Macaca mulatta: one gene and its partners. The protein of the gene in region 1 interacts with the protein of each later gene in a pairwise test. Links are inferred from orthologs where the notes say so. Each region holds a gene or a part of one and is shown on either strand. Other genes may lie near its edges.

The links.
Region 2: the proteins of NUDT21 (region 1) and RBM48 interact in a two-hybrid assay, tested with the Homo sapiens proteins (2 studies listed by BioGRID and IntAct). The link is inferred for Macaca mulatta from reciprocal best matches to the Homo sapiens genes NUDT21 and RBM48.
Region 3: the proteins of NUDT21 (region 1) and MYL6 interact in binary tests that used the Homo sapiens proteins (3 or more experiments, as listed by UniProt). The two-hybrid records come from large-scale screens. The link is inferred for Macaca mulatta from reciprocal best matches to the Homo sapiens genes NUDT21 and MYL6.

Annotation. Positions count from the first base shown.
Region 1 is NC_133425.1:52,003,928-52,008,269, reverse strand, and holds part of NUDT21 (cleavage and polyadenylation specificity factor subunit 5), read left to right. Parts: intron 1-1,800; coding exon 1,801-2,001; intron 2,002-3,101; coding exon 3,102-3,165; intron 3,166-4,342. UniProt on the Homo sapiens protein: Component of the cleavage factor Im (CFIm) complex that functions as an activator of the pre-mRNA 3'-end cleavage and polyadenylation processing required for the maturation of pre-mRNA into functional mRNAs.
Region 2 is NC_133408.1:126,862,392-126,867,391, reverse strand, and holds the start of RBM48 (RNA-binding protein 48), read left to right. Parts: upstream 1-1,748; 5' UTR 1,749-1,778; coding exon 1,779-1,889; intron 1,890-2,442; coding exon 2,443-2,633; intron 2,634-5,000. Other genes in the region: peroxisomal ATPase PEX1, read right to left, coding at 1,271-1,399. UniProt on the Homo sapiens protein: As a component of the minor spliceosome, involved in the splicing of U12-type introns in pre-mRNAs.
Region 3 is NC_133416.1:63,309,537-63,314,375, forward strand, and holds MYL6 (myosin light polypeptide 6), read left to right. Parts: upstream 1-1,497; 5' UTR 1,498-1,540; coding exon 1,541-1,543; intron 1,544-1,800; coding exon 1,801-1,828; intron 1,829-2,704; coding exon 2,705-2,848; intron 2,849-3,081; coding exon 3,082-3,255; intron 3,256-3,348; coding exon 3,349-3,426; intron 3,427-3,721; coding exon 3,722-3,750; 3' UTR 3,751-3,766; intron 3,767-4,483; coding exon of another isoform or gene 4,484-4,512; 3' UTR 4,513-4,632; downstream 4,633-4,839. UniProt on the Homo sapiens protein: Regulatory light chain of myosin. Does not bind calcium.

The DNA of each region.
Region 1 (4,342 bases):
TTTTTGAGACGGAGTCTAGCTCTGTTGCCCAGGCTGGAGTGCAGTGGCCGGATCTCAGCTCACTGCAAGCCCCGCCTCCCGGGTTCACGCCATTCTCCTGCCTCAGCCTCCCGAGTAGCTGGGAGTACAGGCGCCCGCCACCTCGCCCGGCTAATTTTTTTTTTTTGTATTTTAGTAGAGACGGGGTTTCACCGTGTTAGCCAGGATGGTCTCGATCTCCTGAACTCGTGATCCGCCCGTCTTGGCCTCCCAAAGTGCTGGGATTACAGGCTTGAGCCACTGCGCCCGGCCTTAAAGTAATTTTTAAAGTTTTGGCAACCTTGATTTTTTCCCCCTTTCAAGAATGGCTGAGTGTAGTAGATGCAATAATGTTGACTATTAATGTCAAGGGCTTTTGGTAGAATAGATACTATAGGTGGGCAAATGTGGCGTAAATTCTTACTCAAAGGCTTCTTGCTGTAAGGCTTTAATTAAGGGCGTACGACATATAAGTATGGAATTTTTAAGTATCTTTAAAGAAAAATTTGATCCTTATTAGGCAAGATGAAAACTGTCTTTAACAGTTTGAGCCATATTTTAAATTCTTGGTAAAGGGGTGGGTAGAAGATTCAGATGAGGAGAAGGAAACAATAAGGAGACTGAATAGAATAAATGCCCAAGGCTAGTAAATAGGGTTAGAGGACAGAAAGAGAAAGTAGAAGAGTTGCTGTGAAAAGGAAAGGCTGTGGTGCAAGAAAAATCTGAGGATAGTTGACTGAGAGAAATAGAAAATAACTGGAGGGATGTTGATGAAAAGTGGTGGCTTAGTTTTAGAAAAAAGAGATTAGCCATTAGCACCCATAATTAAAACTTTCTGATTAGATTAGTAGTCAGAGGAATGCAGGGGGACATTAATTATTAGCCAAATTGGTCTTGTTGGAATAGCAGCCATGGTCTAAAACCAGATTACTAATGTTCAGATAACCATTTCTCTAAGCATTTAAGGATAGTGTTATCTACACTTGAAAGTTAAAGTATGGAGGAGTAGCTTGATCTCATGGAAGCTCTGGCTTTTTTTTTTTTTTTTTTTTTTGAGACGGAGTCTCACGCTGTTGCCCAGGCTGGAGTGCAGTGGCGCGATCTCGGCTCACTGCAAGCTCCGCCTCCTGGGTTCACGCCATTCTCCTGCCTCAGCCTCCTGAGTAGCTAGGACTACAGGCGCCCGCCACCGCGCCCGGCTAATTTTTTGTATTTTTAGTAGAGACGGGGTTTCACTGTGGTCTCGATCTCCTGACCTTGTGATCCGCCCGCCTCGGCCTCCCAAAGTGCTGGGATTACAGGCTTGAGCCACCGCCCAGGCTGGAGTGCAGTGGCGGGATCTCAGCTCACTGCAAGCTCCGCCTCCCGGGTTCACGCCATTCTCCTGTCTCAGCCTCCCAAGTAGCTGGGACTACAGGCGCCCGCCACTTCGCCCGGCTAGTTTTTTGTATTTTTTTTTTAGTAGAGACGGGGTTTCACCGTGTTAGCCAGGATGGTCTCGATCTCCTGACCTCGTGATCCGCCCGTCTCGGCCTCCCAAAGTGCTGGGATTACAGGCTTGAGCCACCGCGCCCGGCCGGAAGCTCTGGCTTTAAGAGTCCAGAGAACAAGATTCCAATCTCTACTGTCTCATTAACTTTAGTTATGTAACTGTACAAATCCTGTGTCTCTGAGTACAACATATGCACTTTTTTTTTGTACTGTGGTTTCTTTATGCTAATGTCTGTCATGGTAAATTATATTCTTCAGTTCTCATGTTAGATGTTTGTCTTTGGATCACAGGTACCCTCTTACCAATTATACTTTTGGTACAAAAGAGCCCCTCTATGAGAAGGACAGCTCTGTGGCAGCCAGATTTCAGCGCATGAGGGAAGAATTTGATAAAATTGGAATGAGGAGGACTGTAGAAGGGGTTCTGATTGTACATGAGCACCGGCTACCCCATGTGTTACTGCTACAGCTGGGAACAACTTTCTTCAAACTGTAAGTAGTGTTGGAAATTAACAGCAAGACAGTTTTTAGTAGGATTGCTGTTTATGCAGCTGTGGACTACAATTTTAGCCCTCGGTCATTTATTTCAACAAACACTGCTGTTAATGATGTCTTTAAAAAGAGAAAATCACGAGTAATTTTTCTCCATTGCGGTGCTCGTTTATTTTCCTAACTAGTAATCTGCGTGTTTCTATATGTTGTCGATGTTAGTGATTGAGCTTGGTAGAAACCCTGTGGAATAGTTGAGTTCAAGATCAATGTCTAGATGTCATTGTAGCATCACCAAGAACAATTGGTATTTCTTTCTTGGTATGATTTGCATTTCCTATTCTTAAGATGACTTAGGTTTTTGTGGATAACAGTTTATTTTTTTGTCATTTAAGCTCCTGCATCTCTCAAACATTTGATCCACAACTATTTGACTAGATTATACCAAAAAGAAAGGTCTCCAATACTTAGATGGCGCTCTTGAAAAAGTGTCCCATTGTTTAGGCCTAAAGAATATGATCCATTCCTCTCTGGGCATTTCTAGACTCCATTATCATCAGATAGCTTCCAGAGACGAGATTGGGATGGACTGGTGGTTAGCAATTTTGTTTATGTTTGTGCTATGTTATGTATTCTGTTGGTTTAAAACTAGGGTTTATGTGATGGGTACATATGGACATAAAGTTGGAAAAAATGAACACTGTATACTCCAAAGGTGGGGAGCGGGAGGGAGAGGCGAGAGTTGAAATACTTCCTGTTAGATGTTATGTTCACTGTTTTGGTGATTGGTTCACTAGAAGCCTAAACCTTAGCATTACACAATATACCTATGTAATAAACTTGTACATGTACCCCTTGAATCGACAATAAAATAAAAATAAATATATACAAAGAGGAAAAAAACCTAGGGTTTGTATACTGTTAGTCTGGGGAATTGACATGAATTCAAGCATATTCTCCCCCTTCACTTTGATACTTGTTTTGATTGCCTTATTACACTGAAATATGTTACTTAGTGACTTGATAGACATAACATTTATTGTGTTCTTTGTTATCTCCAAATTGCATTAAGTTGAAAGCTGAAATTCTTAACTTTTATACAGACCTGGTGGTGAACTTAACCCAGGAGAAGATGAAGTTGAAGGACTAAAACGCTTAATGACAGAGGTATTTTTCTGTTTAACCTAACTTTGCATACCATCAACTTAATAGTTAATTTGGCTTTTAATGTCTTGTAAAAAGGATGTTTATTTTGGAATATTGAGTTTTCAATAAATACAACTTAAACCCCAGAATGTTAGTACAATGTTGATTTTTTTTACAAGTTGAACTTACACTTACTTCAATTTTTAAAATGTTAAACTGTGTCACAGCAATGATAAAAACTGACATTTAAGTATTACTGTGCTAGACACTGTTCTAAGTGCTTTACATGTGCTAATTCCTTTAATCACCACCACAACTCTAGGAAGCAGATATTATTAAGTTTAAATTACTTCTTGTTATATAGCTAGTGTGTTGTAGAGCTAGAGGTTTGAATGCAGGTAGTTTTGTTCAAGAGTAGGCCTCTATGGAATTTTGAAAAGAGAAAGACGCCTGTGTTTTCACTTTTTTCACATATTTTTTAGACTTTGCCCAAATTATTCTACTTTTAAAAAATCATTGTAATGCCTGCATGTAAAGACTTGGGGCCAAATGCATAGATACTGAGGATTTTGAGACTGTAAGTTGTTTTCAATGTTTGTTTTCTTCTTTAACATGCAGTTGCCGCCTGCCCCCTTTACAAAACTCATACATTCTCTGTGCAAAAAGCTTGGCAAACACAGAAAAGCAAAGGAGAAACAAAACTAAAGTCACCTGTAATTCTCCTACTTTTGACCTATTGGTTTGTCTTTCTAGTATTTCTAAAAATGTATTATAACTCTTAAACATTTACTGTGCTTGGACTTCCATTTATGTAATGTCTGGTACAAAGATGTAAGTGCAGTAGGATTGAGGGAGTGCAAAATGAGAGACTCACAAAAGCAAAATTTTTGGAAACTGGAAAACAGATGGGCAAATTATAACTAACTTGGCAGAAACCTTAGTCCAACAGACAGGCAGGCAGAATCCAACACTGCAGAGTACCAGAATGACTGAGGAACTGAAGGTGCTAGGTACTTATGAAAGTGGGGGCATGCATGGGCTGAAAACTGGACTGGTTCAAAGTATATATGAAGTATATTTATACAGGTTGAGTATTCCCTGTCTGAGAGCTTGGGACCAGAAGTGTTTAGCTACTATTTGATAGCACAATAGGGTGATTATAGTCAGTAATCACTTAATTGTAAATTTTAAAATAACT
Region 2 (5,000 bases), on another chromosome or scaffold:
AAGTACTTCTTGAAGGCTCAAAATTTAAAACAAGATCAAGACCACTAAATTCTTAAATAGTGACGAATGTAAGGTAACATGAATTAATTCTTATAAATACTTCTCGAAGGCTCAAAATTTAAAACAAAGATCAAGACCACTAAATTCTTAAACAGTGATGAATGTAAGGTAACAACTACATCTTAGGATCAAATTAGAGTTACTGTAAGAAAGCATTCCTACTATCATGAGTGGATTTGAAAACATGTTGAAAAATCCCATCGAAGCTGACAGAGCACTGAACCAACTTCTACCTGGAACTTGGTGACAGTGACTGATTTGTCTCTAACCATAAAGCCCATCAAAAACCAAGATTGTCTACTTAGTAGTAAAAAATAATAACGACGATGATAGGAGGATTCTGCTGAACTCATGTTTTCAATGGACCAAAAAAATCTTCCCCTAGGTATGGAGAAGTAACTCAAGTGGAAAGAAGGGATGCTTGAAATTATTGCAAACTCTTTATTCATTACATAGATTAGCCACTGGTGGGTACCATGCATCCAGGATTTATGAAGATTTCAAATACGCCGTCCTTTTGCCCCCATAACCACACTCAAACTCGTGAGACCATGTGCCTCTATTTTTAATTACGAAAATAAGGACGCTGTATCTCCACCGGTGGTTAGAACTGCGAAACATCCCAACCACAACGTCCAGAAGGGCGACTGATCGCAGAGCTTCAAGTGATCTTAACTACGTTATGTGTTCCTGACACACTACAGCTGTGTTCCGAGGGTCTGGGACGCAGGGCAGAACCATTACTGTATTAAGCTTTCCCGCTCATGGGACGCGGTGCTCAGTCCCCGGGGACCGACAGGGGCTCCACCAACAACTCTGCGCCTCCCTCTCGCGGCCCGGACGGCAGCAGCGCAGGTAACTGGAAATGACTGGCAAGAAAAGCACCTTTTAAAATAACAAAAACAAACCACTTATCAGGAACTTTTCCAGCCTGGAATGAGGAATATTTATAAAAACAGTGGTAGAATATTAGGACATTTCTAGGCCCAGTTTCACCAAGTGAAAAGACCTGGGATAAGACGAGCCCAGGGCTGCACTGGACTTGCGGGATGCAGAGACTAACCAGAAGGGCCCTGCCGTCGAGGGACCCTAATCTCTGTACGCTTCGGGGGCGCCCGGGTGGCAGCCGGTGTCCCGCCGCGTCCCTGAGAGGCTTCGGCCTTGTCCGACCCCAGGCTGAAGATCAGGTGGCCCGGGGCCAGCACGTTACCTGCAGCAGGTGCAGCTGGGCCACGAGACCCCGCGGCAGGTGGAGGAAGCAGTCGCGAGCGTTGGTGAAGGCCACAGTCACTGCCGCCCCGCCTCCCCCAGCACCCGCCAGGCGATCGCTGCCCCACATCGTCCCGAAGCGTCGCTCTGGGTTTGCCCACCCTAGCGCCGCAAAGGACACGGGACCTGGCAGGCCGAGGACGTCGGAACCGGAGGAGATCGATCGGCCCCGCCCCCTGAGGCCCCGCCCCCTCTCCCCGCTGCGCGTCTCGCCGTAAGCCTGTAGTGGGGTGGGACAAGAAAGCTTCTGTCACCCACCGCGCCTCTCCGCCAAGCCGCTCGGGGGCGGCACCTCGTTCATCAAATCCTCGCACGCAGGAAACGATGGCCGACGCTGTCGATTCTTCAGCCAATCCTGACACTCCTTAACTCATCCCGCTCTCTTATTGGATAAAAGGGAGGTCAGCAGGGCGGATGTTGTCCTCCCTGCGAGGATCAAAGTAGGCAAGATGGCGTCCAGCGGTGGGGAGTTAGGGAGTTTATTTGACCACCACGTCCAGAGGGCGGTGTGCGACACGCGGGCCAAATATCGGGAGGGACGACGGCCTCGTGCTGTCAAGGTAAAGTGATTTTTGGTTTCATTCGCTCTCCTCGGTAGCTTTTTGTGAGCGCTAGCGCCATATGGCTAACCTACGGAAATAAAGGCACGACAAGGCTTCCGTCAGATCTGTCGCTCATTAGAGCTGGCGTGAAGAACCCTGGGCCAGGTACCAAAGATTCTCACGACCCTTTTGGTCAACTATTAGAACATCAACTCCACGAGAATAGGGCTTGGTTTTAGTCATTGGATCTTCAGTGTTTACAGTACTACTTGGCACAGGTAAGCGCTCAGTGAATATTCGTTGAGTGATTGTTCCCAGTGACTTCTGCCGACTCAATTTCTGGAAAAAAATGTCGACTGAAGGTAGTCTGTTATATGCCTTAGGTAGCCTCTCACATGGACTGTTACTCTTTATGCAGAGGGAATGGCAGAAATTTTATTTTGTGTTTTTTGCTGACTGGGTTGAACAGATTATTTCTTGTTTTCAAAGTTCTGTTTAAAAAAAAAAATAGAGGCAGATTCGTCCTAGGCTTATTTGCGAAATACGTTTAATAACTATGCATTTCTTTCAGGTATATACAATCAATTTGGAATCTCAGTACTTATTAATACAAGGAGTTCCTGCTGTGGGAGTCATGAAGGAATTAGTTGAGCGATTCGCTTTATATGGTGCAATTGAACAGTACAATGCGCTAGATGAATACCCAGCAGAAGACTTTACTGAAGTTTATCTTATTAAATTTATGAACTTACAAAGTGCAAGGTAAGGTGCAAGTTAAGCAATGACTCGTTTCATTTCCTCCATTCATATTTCTGTCATTTTGGCCCCAAGTTTCCCTCATTCATATCTGAATTACCCCAAAATGTAATCTAGCATATCTTCCTACAGCCTTTTTACAGGTTAACTTTACTGAAACACTGTATCCATCACATCCCATGCTTAACAATTTAATGTCCTGTAGCGTGGTAGAGTAAAAGTTGGGTTTGGCCAGGCACGGTGGCTTACGCCTGCAATCACAGCACTCTGGGAGGCCGAGGCAGGCGGATCACGAGGTGAGGAGTTTGAGACCAGCCTGGCCAACATGGTGAAACCCCGTCTCTACTAAAAATACAAAATTAGCCGGGTCTAGTGGCGCATACCTGTAATCCCAGCTACTCAGGAGGCTGAGGCAGGAGAATTGCTTGAACCCAGGAGGCAGAGGTTGCAGTGAGCCGAGATTGCGCCATTGCACTCCAGCCAGGGCAACAAGAGGGGATCTCCGCCTCAAAGAAAAAAAAAATGGGTTTGAGGGCTGGGCGCCAATAACTCACGCCTCACGCCTGTAATCAGAGTACTTTGGGAGACCGAGGCAGGCAGATCACTTGAGGTCAGGGGTTCAAGACCAGCCTGGCCAACATGATGGAAACCCCGGCTCTACTAAAAATACAAAAATTAGCTGGGTGTGGTGGTGCAGACCCGTAGTCCCAGCTACTCAGGTGGCTGAGGCATGGGAATCGCTTGAACCCGGGAGGTGGAGATTGCAGTGAGCAGAAATCACACCACTGCACTCCAGCCTGGATGACAGAGCGAGGCTCTGTCTCAAAAAAAAAAAAAAAAAACAGAAAAAATTTGGGTTTGGCGCCAGGCATGTGGCTCACACCTGTAATCCCAGCAGTTTGGGAGGTGGAGGTAGGCGGATCACCTGAGGTCAGGAGTTCAAGACCAGTCTGGCCAACATGGTGAAACCCTGACTCTACTAAATACAAAAATTAGCTGTGTTGGTGCAAGCCTTTAATCCCAGCTCCTGGGGAGGCTGAGGCACAAGGATCACTTGAACCCAGAAAGTAGAGGTTGCAGTGAGCCAAGATCATGCCATTGCACTCCAGCCTGGAAAGAGTGAGACTGTCCCAGAAAAAAAGAAAAGAAAAGAAAAAAAAGTTGAATTTGATCCCAGCACTATGGAAGGCCAAGGTGGGCAGACAGCTTGAGCCCAGGAGTTCGAGACCCGACTGGCCAACATGGCAAAACCTCACCTCTGCTAAAAATACAAAAATCAAGGTGGGCGTGGTAGTGCATTCCTGTAGTCCCAGCTACTTGGGAGGCTGAGGTGGGAGAATCAGTTGAGCCCAGGAGGTGGAGGTTGCAGTGAGTCATTTATGGACCACTGCACTCCATCTTGGGTGATGGAGTGAGACTATGTCTCAAAAGAAAAAAAAATGTTGGGTTTGGAGTAAGTTTTCCATTTCCACTGCTTACTAGCTTTGTGATCTTGGACAAGTTATTTAACCTGTTTAAGTTTTTCCTGTTCCGTAAAATCTATATGGTAAAGGGACCTATCTACTTCTTGAGGTTGTATGAGGATGAAATGAGATAATCCATATAAAGGGTTTAGCAGAGTGCCTCCTGGTCAGAATACAGTAAGCATTAGCTATTGTGGTTTCTACTGTTACTCCTTTCTGCAAATTGACTCAGTGTTTTCCGGCCTTCTATGTGACATAAACCCTCTGCTCCAAAAAGGCTGAAGTATGCAATGCCTTATCTATTTTTATGTTGATCTCTGTTCTCCTCACTAATCTGCTCTGAGACCCATCCTTCTCTGGCTGTTACAATTCATATTTTCTTTCATGTGCTATCAGTAGAAATCATAATCTACCACAAAAGCACTTGATTTTACTGGGTCATGTGTGGTTTTCTCAGGCTGCTGTTATATGTAATCTCACTTTCTTAACCAATCTGCCAGCTGTCATGGTTAGAGAAATATTTTCTCGAGCTTTTCTGTTTTCCAAAGTACCTAGTCTAGTAGGCTCTGAAGTAAGACATCTGGATTTGAATCCTTGCTCCTCAAACCAGAGTATGAGCATGGCTAAGTTATGTAATGTCCCAGTGCTTCTGTTTCATTACAGGGTTGTTGTTAGGTGTTAATTCAAGTGAAGCACTTACAACATTGCCTGGCATATGGTAAAATCTGAGCAAGTATTTGTCATTATCCCTGGATACAGAAGTAGTTAAATTTATTGTAGTACCTGGCCAATCATAGATGTTTAGTAAGTATTTATTGACTGAATAACATTCTTCTCATTTTCTCATTGTTATATGTTTAATAGTTCCTCAGTTATTGAACGTTTTATGATTATAGTATTTTTCATCTGA
Region 3 (4,839 bases), on another chromosome or scaffold:
GCATTTTGGGAGGCAGAAGTGGGCAGATCATTTGAGCTCAGGAGTTTGAGACCAGCCTGAGCAACATGGCAAAACCATGTCTCTACAAAAAAATAAAAAAATTAGCTAGGCGTGGTGGTGTACACTTGTAGTCCCAGCTACTTCGAAAGCTGATGTGAATCACTGGAGCCCAGGAGGTGGAAGTTGCAGTGAGCCATGATGATGTCACTGCATTCCAGCTGGGTGACAGAGGGAGACCCTATCTAAAAAAAAAAAAAAAAATTACAATTGTTATGTTCATATTATTGTTTACAAAAATATATGGAAAAAGCCAGGGGCAGTGGCTCATGCCTGTAATCCCAGCACTTTGGGAGGCTGAAGCAAGTGTATGACCTGAGGTCAAGAGTTTGAGAGCAGCCTGCCCAACATGGTGAAAACTCATCTCTACCAGAAATACAAAAAATTAGCGGTGAACCTGTAGTCCCAGCTACTCGGGAGGCTGAGGCAGGAGAATCGCTTAAACACGGGAGGCGGAGGTTGCAGTGAGCCGAGACTGCTCCACTGCACTCCAGCCTGGGTGACAGGAGCGAAACAACGTCTCGGAAAAAAGCATTGCCTGGGTGAGTGAAGGAGGGAAAGCAGGGACTCAGACGTTGTGTCTGGGATTCAGGAGAGAAGATGACTGAGGAGGAGGTGGAGACTGTTCTGGCAGGACATGAGGACAGCAACGGCTGCATCAACTACGAGGGTGAGGGGCCAAAAAAGCAGGAGCGGGGCCGGGGGAGGAGGGGAGCCCGGCGTCTTGCCGCGTGTGGGTGGGGGCACCCCTGAATTATCTAGAGTCAGATGTATTATCCAGAGGCCTGCTTCTGAAGCCCCTCTTGCCTCCTCTCTTTGCAGCCTTCTTGAAACACATCCTAAGCGTCTGAGTGCTACAGGTAGGGCCTTCCCACCCCTTCACCGCGCCTTAAGAGGCAAGTCTCCCGCGCTTCTCAGCCAGCATAGAAAAGCAGCGGAGTTCGTTCTGCTGTCCGGTTGCTGCGCGGGCTCCAGCGCTTGGCAACTTTCGTTTTTTTCCACAGATCCAGTGGGGTCCGGACACTGGGCCCCGCGGGCGGAAGCACGTTCCAGCCACCAGGAGGCCACCTATTGTTTCAAAATAAAGACTGGGTTCCTCTCTTCGTTTCAGACTATTTTTTTCATGGTTGGGGGAGCAAGGGGAGACGGGGAGGGTGCTAGGAGGAGAGGGCGGGAAAAGAAGGCTCTCTCCTCTTCCAGTCCTCTAATGTTCCTGTTGTTGGGAGGCGCAGATTAATTGTGCCCCACGCCCCCCCCACTCCCATCCCCGAGCGGTTCTGTGCCCAGGTAGGGCTGGAGAAACGAACAGCGGGCCCCGCCCACGTCATTACTAATGTAGCAATTATCTGCATAAACCCAGGTCACGGTTCCTATTGGCTGAGTCCGCTGAGGGTGACGTCATTGGGACGTACTAAGACTAGGGTTGGGCCGAGAGTCGGAGCCATTACTGCAGGAAAAGGTCCCGCAGAGCTGAGCAGTCAAGATGGTGGGGCCCAGGTCCTGGGAGATGGGCAGGATTGGGGGCGAGAGGTGGGAAGAGACGGGTGGGGGGGCGAGGAGAAGGCAGGGGTAGGAGGCAAAGGGAACCTGAGGACCCGAAAGGTTGGAGGTGGGGTTGGAAAGCCTGGGGCCCTATCCTGCGGGGAAGCGAGTCTGCAGCCTGAAACAGGAGTTTGTGGGGCTGGGATAGAAACTCGGGGGATTGGCGTTCAGATGCTGACCACTTCCCTCTTCTCTGAGCAGTGTGACTTCACCGAAGACCAGACCGCAGGTAGGTTATCTCTGATCCCTACCGAGGTCACCCTTAGGGAGAGGGACACCCGCCCCCCAGCACCTATCCTCTAATCTTAATCTGTCATCTCTTTAGCACCCCTATGAGGTTACCCCCTGGATTATTTTCTCTTCTTTTGGATCCTCCATTTTCTTTTCTCACTTTCTTCCTCCCTCCCCTTCCACTCTAGATCTGAGTCCCAAGCACTGGGTGAGTTTTAGGTGGTGTGGGTATGTGAAAAAACTTGGTCACCTAATGCCTGCTGTTTGTGGGGTCTGGGGAGGGTGTATAAAGCTGCCTGCTCTCCTTTGTCCCTTAATCAGCTACTTCTGTCTTTTTTCTCCTCCTGTGATAACTGCCCCTGACCTCCCAGCTTGCAGTTGTGAAGACTGTAGAGCAGTGACTTGATATTCTGTGCAGATGGGGACAGGACAGGGGAGTTTGCTAAGGATATGACTGTAGCTCTACCCTCTGGAAGTTCTCTTTGTACTGGAGGGGTGCAAAGTGGCAGGTTGGGATGACCCTGGTCCCAGGCTGCTGCTCTCACTTCCTTATAAGGACAGGACTGAGACTGGGCGGTGGCGAATTCCTGCCCTGAGAAGTGTAGTAGCAGCAGTGGAGATTGGCAGGTCTGCCGCAGGCAGAGGGGGATGTGTAAATGGATGTTACCAGGCTGCCAGAGGGGGAGGAAGGCTCTATATAGGACACCTGAGTTGGGAGGAAGATAAATAGATCCCTCTTAAGTACACTTCGGTGTACAGTTTGGTGCAGATATCTGGTTTCCTCAGCATGATCAAAGTTGAATGGGCAGCAGGCTCTGAGGTAGGGTTTGGGTTAACCCTCAAATCCTGTGTTGACATTCATCTGAATCCTCAGAGTTCAAGGAGGCCTTCCAGCTGTTTGACCGAACAGGTGATGGCAAGATCCTGTACAGCCAGTGTGGGGACGTGATGAGGGCCCTGGGCCAGAACCCTACCAACGCCGAGGTGCTCAAGGTCCTGGGGAACCCCAAGAGTGATGGTGAGGGGCCTCAAGAACAACAACTCAGTGTGGTCATGGGCCCACAGTTCTTCAGCTAAGAGCTTCCCTTTATCTTCATAGGCCCCAAACTCAAAAGTCTGGATTAGCAAATCCCATGGATTTCCCTGCTTAGGAGGGAGTCATCTCTCTGTTCAGTTGAGGTCTCTATTATCCCCCGTCCTGAGAACTTGTGTTACTTCTCTGGCCTGACACTTCCACCTCCTTTATGGCAGAGATGAACGTGAAGGTGCTGGACTTTGAGCACTTTCTGCCCATGCTGCAGACAGTGGCCAAGAACAAGGACCAGGGCACCTATGAGGATTATGTCGAAGGACTTCGGGTGTTTGACAAGGAAGGAAATGGCACTGTCATGGGTGCTGAAATCCGGCATGTTCTTGTCACACTGGGTAAGGTTCTGTGTCCTTGTCCTTGAGCTGAGATGCCACCCTGAATACCTCACTTGTCTCCCAATTCCAAAGATGCTCTCTTTCCCCCTGCAGGTGAGAAGATGACAGAGGAAGAAGTAGAGATGCTGGTGGCAGGGCACGAGGACAGCAATGGTTGTATCAACTATGAAGGTAAGGGGTGAACTGCGCTTTCGCAGCCACATGGGGCAGGTCAAGTATAGTGTTTGGGGCTTTCCCTATCCCTGGACGTGGGCTCCAAAAAGAGCCAGGAGGCAAGGTGCAGGGCCCTGCCCAGCCCAGCCCAGGAGTGGGAGGTCAGGGGGGTGTAACAGGAAAGGAAGGAGTAGTATTGTAGAGGGTGGGAAGGAATGAGAAGTGAAATAATGGAATGTCTGTCCCCACCGCCTGACCCCTCACCCCATGTCTGTGTCTTGTCTTCACCATGAATGTCTCTTCCTTCCTGCAGCGTTTGTGAGGCATATCCTGTCGGGGTGACGGGCCCATGGGGCGGGTACGGCTCCTCCCAGCCTCTCCCCTAGTTGATCTCCCCAGTGTTTCTTTTTTCCTCAACCTGTGCTCTTTATCCCCTGCCCTTACCCTACTACCATCTGACTTCCTCCTGGCATGTTTCTGCATGGAGCTGACTAGGGAGGGGAGGGATTCCTCATAGAGGAATACAGCCTGGGGGTAAGGTACCTCTTTACTTCTAGAATGGGCCTTGAGGTTTTACTTATAGGGCCCTGGGTGCTGGTGTCTGGGAACTCTCACCAGCCTGTATACCAGTCTTGCTTTAGGGTGACCTTCTGGCCCTGGAGCATGGGTAGCTGGCATAGAGGGGTATGGGTTGCCTGCCCCATTCTGCTGCTATAGCTGAACAGTCCTTTCCCCTTCCCTCGCTGGGCAGCTTGGAGGTACCCTAACCCAAAACTCTTGTCCTCTCCTCCCGCCAGTGGCTGACAGTAGCTGTAGGTGTAGTTGAGAACTTTTCTGCCTCTGCTGTGTTCTTGCTGCTCAGGGTGGGGAGGGGCACTAACAGCTGGTGGGAGGGGAGCTAGGGGCAGGGAGAACTGGTCAGACTCAAGGTGGCTCCTCTGCAAACTGACCCCAGGGTTGGTTGCTGTGGGCATGTTCCCTCTTATGCTACCTTTGCAGTCTTGTAGTCCCCTGGCCCTTGGTGTACCCCTCCACAGCCCTGTTCCCTGGCTCATTCCACCTTTCCTTTCCACAGAGCTCGTCCGCATGGTGCTGAATGGCTGAGGACCCTCCCAGTCTCCCGACTCCGTGCCTTTCCCTGTGTGAATTTTGTATCTAGCCTGAAGTTTCCCTAGGCTCTCTTGTCTCAGCACCTTTCCCATCTTGTCTCTTGGATGATGTTTGCCGTCAGCATTCACCAAATAAACTTGCTCTCTGGGCCCTCGGTTCGGTTCTGCTCTCTTTCCTGAACAGGGTAAAGGGGAAGAAGGTGAGGTGGTGATGATTTCTGCCCTGAGGCAGAGTCCAAGGTCAATGGTGCAGGGGTTGAGGAAAGCTGAGGCAGGAAGCCCCTGTACTAGCCGTCTGGGCTTCATTTAAAAACTGCTGGCC